2 linked regions of the Tribolium castaneum genome follow. The protein of the gene in region 1 binds, or shares a complex with, the protein of each later gene. Links are inferred from orthologs where the notes say so. Each region holds a gene or a part of one and is shown in the gene's direction. Other genes may lie near its edges.

Evidence for each region.
Region 2: CSN7 (region 1) and CSN6 share a complex: the UniProt entries of both Drosophila melanogaster proteins name them as parts of the CSN complex. The link is inferred for Tribolium castaneum from reciprocal best matches to the Drosophila melanogaster genes CSN7 and CSN6.

Annotation. Positions count from the first base shown.
Region 1 is NC_087395.1:497,379-501,863, forward strand, and holds the start of CSN7 (COP9 signalosome complex subunit 7b), read left to right. Parts: upstream 1-1,652; 5' UTR 1,653-1,749; coding exon 1,750-1,914; intron 1,915-1,962; coding exon 1,963-2,127; intron 2,128-4,045; coding exon 4,046-4,354; intron 4,355-4,410; coding exon 4,411-4,485. Other genes in the region: IQ domain-containing protein E-like, read right to left, coding at 1,181-1,342, 1,390-1,404. UniProt on the Drosophila melanogaster protein: Component of the COP9 signalosome complex (CSN), a complex involved in various cellular and developmental processes.
Region 2 is NC_087398.1:15,420,048-15,424,537, forward strand, and holds the start of CSN6 (COP9 signalosome complex subunit 6), read left to right. Parts: upstream 1-1,657; 5' UTR 1,658-1,743; coding exon 1,744-1,948; intron 1,949-1,999; coding exon 2,000-2,131; intron 2,132-4,285; coding exon 4,286-4,437; intron 4,438-4,488; coding exon 4,489-4,490. Other genes in the region: uncharacterized protein C9orf85 homolog, read left to right, coding at 824-1,384. UniProt on the Drosophila melanogaster protein: Component of the COP9 signalosome complex (CSN), a complex involved in various cellular and developmental processes.

The DNA of each region.
Region 1 (4,485 bases):
AATCATACTTTTGATTTATGAGTTAGATCGATTATTCTTTGACACTGAAAATTAAAAAAGAAAGAAAAATAAAAAATAAGAATAAGGAATTTTTGTTCAAAGACAATCAAACTATTATGCTCGGTTTTGCTCTAATTACTTTTTGAGTTAGACTGTTTTTTTAACAAAAATAAAAAAATACATATACATATGAATATGTTTTTTTTTAACAATTGTTGCCTGAAAATGATAAAATTTTTCCGATTGTATTTTTGTTACTACAATGAATTTATCAGTAAAATAGATTTTTTTGACGAAAAAAAAATAAGTAAAATAAAAATAGAAATTTTTAAAACTTCTTTCCTTAAGACAATAAAATTTTTAAGTGTGATTTTATTACTACAATTAATTTATTAGTAAGACTTATCTTTTTTGATCCTAAAAATAAAAAAGAAAGAATAAAAATAAAGAATTCTTAACAGTTTTTATATCTTATATAATTATACTTTTTTAAGCTTAGTTTTTGTTCCAATTGATCGTCTTTTTTAGATACCGAAAATTAAAAAGAAAATCAAAATAAAAAATTAAATAAGAATTTTTAACAATTATTGCCAAAAAAAAATAATTTTAACGTTCGTTTTTTATAACCACAATTAGTTATCTGTAAGACAGCAAAATTAAAACAAAAGTAAAAAATAATTATGTGGAATTTTTTACAATTTTTAAGCTGGGCTTTTGTTACTTCAATTAATTTATTAGTATATTTAATATAACTGTTTTTTTTGGCTCCGAGAATTAAAAAAATAAAAATAAGGAATCTTTGACATTTCTTACCTAAGGATGGTTAAATTTTAAAGCTCGGTTTTTATTTACTATTTAATTTATCGGTATGATTTATTTGTTGCCTTATTTGACTATACTTATTTGAATAAATTTGTACAAGTTTTATAGACGCCAATTTGTTGTAATTTTAGCAAAACTTTTTATACATAAACCTAATAATAACAGCTAAATTTAATTGTTTTACCTTCAATTACTAAGAAAATCATTTATTTATTGTCATATAAGGATAAAATTACAAACAAATAGTGTCAATGATGTTTTGTGAAAAACTTAAAAGAAATAAAAGAACAAATTCTCCGAAAGAAAGCGAAACACTAAAATTGTTTAAAAACTTGAAACTTTTAATAGAGTTTTTTACCTTTTTTGGATCCAATATAGCATCAATTTGTTTATCCTTTTTAATAATTTCATTCTGCAATTTGCGTATTTTCACCTTTAGCATACGATTTTCGGTGCTAATGTTGGATAAATTTTTCTTCAGATGAAAAATTTCAGTCCGCAAATCTCCATCATCTTGTAACTAATAATACAAAGTATAAATAAACTAAAGTATAAATATTTTATTACCTCATTTCGAAACATTGTAGCCGAAGACGAAGTTACGTTTGTTTTGTTTGTAATTTAAGTATTGATCAAACAAATTTTACAATGTAATTAGCAACGGATTGCAGCAAACACAAACATAAATATAGCCGGGTTAAAAATATTATATAATTAAAACTATTGTATCTATTTTCTACTATTTCTTACTTTCTTTAATCAATGTTGTTAAATTTTAAACAAATTTAAATTTACCGCTTTATGTCAAAAGCTGCGCAGGCGCAATTATGTTTCTTTGACATTTGACAGCAGCGTGTGACAGCTGATCGGTTGTTGTGTTTAAAAAGTGCTTCAAAAACAACAAATTAACTAATAAAAACTAAAAAAATGGTTATTGAAAAAAATCCTTTCCCTGGCAATGCCTTGGAACAATTTGTTTTATTGTCAAAGTCAACAAAAGGGGCTGCTTGTTCCGAACTGATCAAGCAAGTGTTGGAAGCCCCCGGTGTTTACGTTTTTGGTGAATTACTTCACATGCAAAACATTGAAGAGGTAATCAAACATATTTTTACATTTATACATTAACTAAGTGTTTTGTAGTTGAGTAATACACCACAGAAAAATTTCTACAACACTCTCAACTTGTTTGCTTACGGAACCTACAAGGATTATCTAGCAAATAAGAAGGATTTAATTGAATTAAGCCCAGCTCAGAAGAAAAAGCTTCAACATTTAACCATTGTTACGTTGGCCACCAAATCAAAGGTAGTTAAAGTAATTCCACTTTAGTGAAATTAAGTTTTTAATATGGATAACTATAGATTAGGAAACGACACGACCTACAAATAAAAAGTCCTCGTTCTCGATAGTTTCGATAGTGTTGTGTAGATGGCGGAGCACATTATTGTATTAAAATTTATCAATGGTTTTAATAGCAGTTAGCACATGGTATCCAAAAAAAGCATGTTAATGCAGCTTTTGGCTATCATTTTTTATTAAAAAAAATACAAGTTATTGCAATTTGCGAATGTTTCGGCATAAAAATGTCATCAGCTCTTAATGATTTTGTTTAATCTAGTTTGTTTAAAAACAAAAAAATTGTTGGCGTTCTTTCCAAAGCACTCTTTGTAAAAATGCTTTTTTCTCCATTTTGATGAGCATTTAAGATTCGATTATATCATGTGATACATAGATGTAATCGGAAATGAAAACACTTCAAAAATACAAAAAGCAAATATGGCTTCCATAAGAAAAAACAAAATTTAGTGTTGTAACACTGACATCAAGAACGCCTTGGAAAATGGGACGACAGATTTAGATTTCTTGTAAAAATGTACCTAAAGAACGTTCTAGTTAAAAACGTCTAGTTCTTTTGGTTTTCACTCGAAAAAAATTAAAACCCAAATTTTAACCACCTCGTATCTCGTATAATAACTGAGATTCCCATGGTGGAGCTGAAAAAACGGCCACCCAGTACATTGTTTTGACTACTATAACAATCTAAAGATAATCGAGTATATTCCTAAAATTCATAAAAGGGACATAAATTTGTACCATGTTACATGTTCAAGTTAACAAAAAAAACAAATATAAAAAAATTAAAAAAAGATTTTTTAACCATTTTTGCCTAGCGATAATCAAACTTTTCTGCTCGGTTTTTGTTACTACAATGAATTTATCAGTATCTAATACGAGTGATTTTTTTGAAAGTGAAAACAAAAAAATTAAAAACATTTTAAGCTTCTTTTTGATCCAAAAACTAGAAATTTTTACCGTACTTTATAATAAATCTTCTAAAAAGTCTGCAATTTTTTTTTATTTTTTGTCAAAAATAATTAAACTATCGACAAATTTACGTCATTTTCAAGCATTTTTGCACAAAAACTATTCAGTTCAAAATTGTACTATTTTTTAACTTTGTAAAAAAGTTGCATTGCATTTTTCTCTACAACTTTTTTTTAATAGAACGACTCTATTTTCTTAACGGCAATGGAAAGAATATCGATATTTATGGTGACTTTTATCAATACGTCCTATACCAATCTCTTACAGTTTTTGAAAAAAATCACAAAAAACGGATTTTACTTGGTAGTTTTCATAGTTAATCAAGTATACCTTGCAAAATGGTCAACAATTATCAAACTTCAATTTTTTATTTAGTTTTTAGCTGTTTCATTATCGAATAATCAGTAAAATAATCACATTTAATTATAGTTTATTATAAGTTAGTGAATTATGTAAAGTAACTCAGTCAGTTTGCCATTGATCCTTGAACTTCTTGAATGAAAATGGTAAATAAATAGGACATTTCTTTTTGTTAACAGTACAATTTTATCGTATTTTTCAAAAGTTTACTTGATTAAAAATGAAAATAATGAGCTAAAATTCTGTTTTTTGCGATTATTTCAAATACTGTAAGAAATAGATATATAGAAGATGTTATTAAAAGTATGCATAAAAATTGATGTTCTTTTGATTGCTATTTAAAAAACTGGGTAATTCCATTTGAAAAACTGTTTTATAATCATTTTTTAATCATCATTTTCAACAAATCATACCTCTAGCTATGTTAGAAGTTAAAGTTTCTAATGTAGGCTCTAAAAGAATCAGCCTATCTACTAATTTAACAAAATTTGATTGATTTTTCTTAGAGCAAGTAATAATAAAAACAATGTTTTTTTAGTGTATTCCGTACAACACCCTTCTGGAAGAGCTAGGCATAACAAATGTTCGTGATTTGGAGGACTTAATAATTGAGGCGATTTACGCTGACATTATTCATGGAAAATTGGACCAGAAAAATAGTCAATTGGAGGTTGATTATGCCATAGGTCGTGATATTCGTCCTGAAGACATTAATGTAATTGTGAATTGTCTCCAAGACTGGTGTTCGGCCTGTGAAGGTGTTTTGGCTTGTGTTGAAACACAAATACATAGAGCAAATAATGAAAAAAATAAATCAATGTTGAGAAAAGCTGAAGTGGAGCAAGAGGTATTTTTTTCGAGTTTGTATCATTACTTTGTTTTAGATATGCATTTTTTTTGTAGATTAGTAACATTAAAAAGACTCTGAAAACTCAATTACAAGAACGCTCTGATGGAACTGACGAGGCTATGGCTACT
Region 2 (4,490 bases), on another chromosome or scaffold:
TTTGCGACGTTTCGATTTTTTATTAAATCTTCATCAGACACTCCCTACCCTAAACAACCAACAAATCTTTCCCGTTTTTATAAGCATATTTTAAAATAAAATTTTTAGTTTACTGATCTTTGATCTAGAAATTTCTGTCGGATTTTGCCGTTTTTTTAAGTATTTTAGCATGTACGGTTTTCTCTCGAAATTAAAACACAATAGTCAATAATAATTAGTTCCTTCAAAGATAGTGGTCAGTCAGTTAAAAATCCAAAATTTCGTTAAAAACTGTTTGAAAATATTTTTTTTGTAATTTGCCGCCCTTTTGATGTTTCAATGGGCATCTTAAAGCACGCAACGTTATCAAGAGCGATGTCATAATAAGATTAAGACTCGTCTTATAAAACTTGTTTTTAATGTACTATAAATTAGGTCAAAAATGATGTTAAATTTGCCTTTTTACAGTGTTTAAGCACGTTTTTGAAGTAAAAACAAAGTTTTTTCAACAGTAGCGCCAAACAAATAACAACTTTGTCAAAAATGAAGTTTTCAAACTAAATTGTCAGTTTTTTTGAGATTTATTTTATTTTATTATTCTTTTTGTCATTTTCGAGCGTTTTGCTAAAAACAAACAGAAAATGAGAAAGTTTTGCCGAACATATTTTAATTATTTTTGCCTTTTTTGATTTTTATTGGCGTGTTTATCTTTAGGTCATTCAACAATTCAATAAAGAGTTTGAAATTGAAATAGGCAAAGAAATCAATAAAAATGAGTTTTTTTAACAAAAAAATTGATTAAAGACATAAAAGCCCATTTAGCTACGTTTTCGTTCCAGAAAAAATGAGCACCCAAAAAGGTAACGCCCAAAGGAGTCGCTCCCAAAAACATCAAAACAAAACCGCCTTCAAAAACACCCTCCACGACACAAGTCAACGCACGAAAAACATTAACAACATCCAAATCAGCGACGTTTGTGTCCGTTGCAAGGAAATAATCGAGTGGAAAATAAAGTACAAAAAATACAAACCGCTCACACAGCCACGAAAATGTGTCAGATGTGATCAGAAAAACGTGAAGAAAGCGTATCATGTGATGTGTACAGACTGTGGAAAAAAATTTGGTGTTTGTACAAAATGTTGTGAAACGAAAGAAGTTATTACAACAAAACCGGACGAAAAGGAACAACTCAAACTGGACAACGAAATGAAGAATTTGCTACATACGCTTCCGGAACGCAAACGGAGGACGTTTTTGAGGTACATGAGCAAAAAAAGTGAGGAAGATTCGACGAATGACGAGGAGAGAAAGGAAGATTTGAAAAGCAAACTCAACGCGCTTAAGATTGACGATGACTTGGACGACTTCAGCGATTTTGATGACGTTGATTCGTCGGATGATTAAATTTTGTAATATATTGGTTGTAGAATTTAATTAAAATAATAAAATAAAAGAGCGAATATTTTTATTTGTTGCACCACGTTCTGTCAAAGCGATCTTATTTGTCATTTCGGTTAATTATCTTGTAATAAATTATATGCGTCCTACAGAAATAATGGAAGTGATGACGTTAATTCGTCTAATGAGTAAATTTAATTAGGTATTTGAATTTAATAAAATTTGAGGAATATGTTAATATGTTGCGTTTAAGTTTGGCGCCACTTGTGACATTGACATCTGTCAAAGGGTCAAAGCGCTGTCATTTGTCATTTTGTTAGCGGTGTTATTTATACATTTTGATTCAATTTCTTGTAATAATTAATATGAGTACGAAAGAATCAATGGAAATGGAAGTCGATAATCCGGCTTCTGCTGATGTTGCAAATAATCCGGCGGAAGATTCGGAAAAAAGTGTGATGGCAGCTGGGGCTGTCGGTTCTGTGACTTGTTCATTGCACCCTTTGGTGATAATGAATGTTTCTGAGCACTGGACACGTGAAAAGGCTCAAGAGGGCTCAGTCCAACGAGGTACGACACCATTTACAGTATAGTTAGTTATTTATAATGTTACATTTTAAGTGATTGGGGCTTTGATTGGTAAACAGAAGGGGCGAAACATTGAAATAATGAACTCATTTGAACTGGTATTTAGTGTAATTGGAGGGGATGTTATTATCGACAGGGATTATTACAACATGAAGGAAGAACAATGTAAGTATGTACCGTGTGGTCAACGGAATTTGTAATCACTAATCAGAGTAGGGAAGATTTTTTCTGTATGGTTGGTTGCGTTTGTTGTAATTGAGACTCATTTATTTCTTCAATTTCATTGAATAAGATCTGTTGTAAATTATAATGAAGTTTAGCCAGACTGCAAATTTTTTGTGGGAGGTAGGCAACGTTTAGGGTTACCATCAGATTTTTTTTAGCTTTGGACACCACAATAAAATGACTAACAACAATAACTTACATTCTTATATTATCGTATTATCGTATATAAAATACTCTGGTAATGGCATCTTATTACCTGACTTCTCGTTTGTATTAAGAATTTTTACTTAGTTTAATAAAAATAAATTTATTTTCAAATAAAATATTACAAAACCAAAAAAACATTGCCAATAGTTTTAATAGTATGTACTGATACAAGAAATATAACAAACAGCATTAGTATAAAAAATATTGTAGTAATAATATTGTACAGAGTGCTGTATTTTGGATGTCGGAATAGGAGATCTCCGAAACTAAGAGATTTAGAGAAAAACAAGTGACACATTCTTGGGTCCGTTTTTTGAGAATATAATCTTGGTCTAAACCGCATCTTGCTATCGTTTTTTGTTTTCGACTTATAAACAAAAGTTGACATTTTAGTGTCAACTTTATACAGAAAAAGCGAAATGTATTTTTTTTAATATTTAAAAAGAATGTATTACACATCAAATCAGAAAAAAATTAGCTTTACAAAAATATTACAGCCTCCTATAATTCATATTTAAAAAAATAAAACTTATTACAGCTAAACGAAAGGTTAAAAAAATCGCTGATAACATTTTTAAATTCTCTGTAAAAAGTGCTTGTATAATGTTTGTGTTTCAAATGTGTATCTTTTATAATAAGGAAGATATATATGATTTTTTTTAAGATTTCGTTAAAATGTCAAGTTCTGTTGATAAGTCGAAAACAAAAGATGATAGCGGGATGCGGTTGACCAAAATTATTTTTTAAAAAAACGGACCAGAAAATGTGTCACTTGTTTTTCTCTAAATCTCTTAGTTTTGGAGTTCCCCTATTCCGACATCTAAAATGCAGCAGCCTGTACAATGAGTGTTAGAATGATTCACATCTAATCATCTGTGAATTTCTCATGTAAAAGAACATATAACTAATGATAGGCATTTAGACATTGAATATTAACATTCTGTATTTATTATTTCAAAGTTAACTAGATGAGAATCATTTAAAAACACATTGTATAAACAGTAAACCACCTTTCTGCATCATTTTTTTTGCAAAACTATCCGGTATCCTGTTTGCAAAATGTAAATTCAATTTTTAGAAGTTGTATATCTACATTTTTCCAATTCACTCCAAGTTTTTTTTAATATTCAAAGTATTTGTTGGAAACAACTAGATAGTTTCGAATTCAGAAAAATTACAGATGGAATTAAGCGTTCTATCGCAGAGTTTTTAAAATTGGTCGTTAATTTTAATTTTAGATACAACAAAATTTAAATTACCCTAAGAAAACTGGACATTTATTACAAATTAACATTTGATCCGGATACCGGACATATCGTCTAATATCCGGATTGTATTGAGTGAAAACCGGACAGGTGGCAACTCTAACAAGGTTGCTATAAACTGTAAAGTATGGATACAGTAGCTGAAAATTTTATAAACAGTAAAGTTCATGTAAATGCGGAATAATATTTTTCTGACTCCTGTGAGTTCGCAGTAAAGCGATGGCAGTCCATTTACCGAATACGGTGTATATATTTTTTCATTTTTTTTTTTATTAATTTTTCTCAAGTTTTGCGCTTAGTTATGACAATTATTCGCCTTTCAAGTTAAGACCTTTGGTTTTTCTGGTTGTTAATTGTGAAATGCTGCTTTGCCATATAGCGGGAAATTTAAATGTAATTTTTTTGAAAAGGTACAAACGTTTTTTGTCTGTTTGACACTTTTAATAGATCTTTTATGGTACTCTAGCTGCCAAAATCAAATTTCGCAAGGGAGTGGTTCACCAGAGAGCGCAGAGATCTTGGCTTGAAAGGTGAATACAAATAATAAAAATAAGAAAACTACTCTTATTGTAAATTCAAACACTAGAAAACACAAAAATTGTTTGTTAACAATCTATTGCAGTCAAGCAGGTGTTCAGTGACATGGATTTCATTGGTTGGTACACCACCGGAGACATCCCCAACACCACTGACATTAAAATCCATAAGCAAATATGCGACATTAATGAATCTCCAATTTTGCTTAAATTAAATCCCTACGACAAAAACATTGATGTTCGTACACAGGCTGCATTTTAAGTGTTAGTTTTAACATAATTATTTTAGCA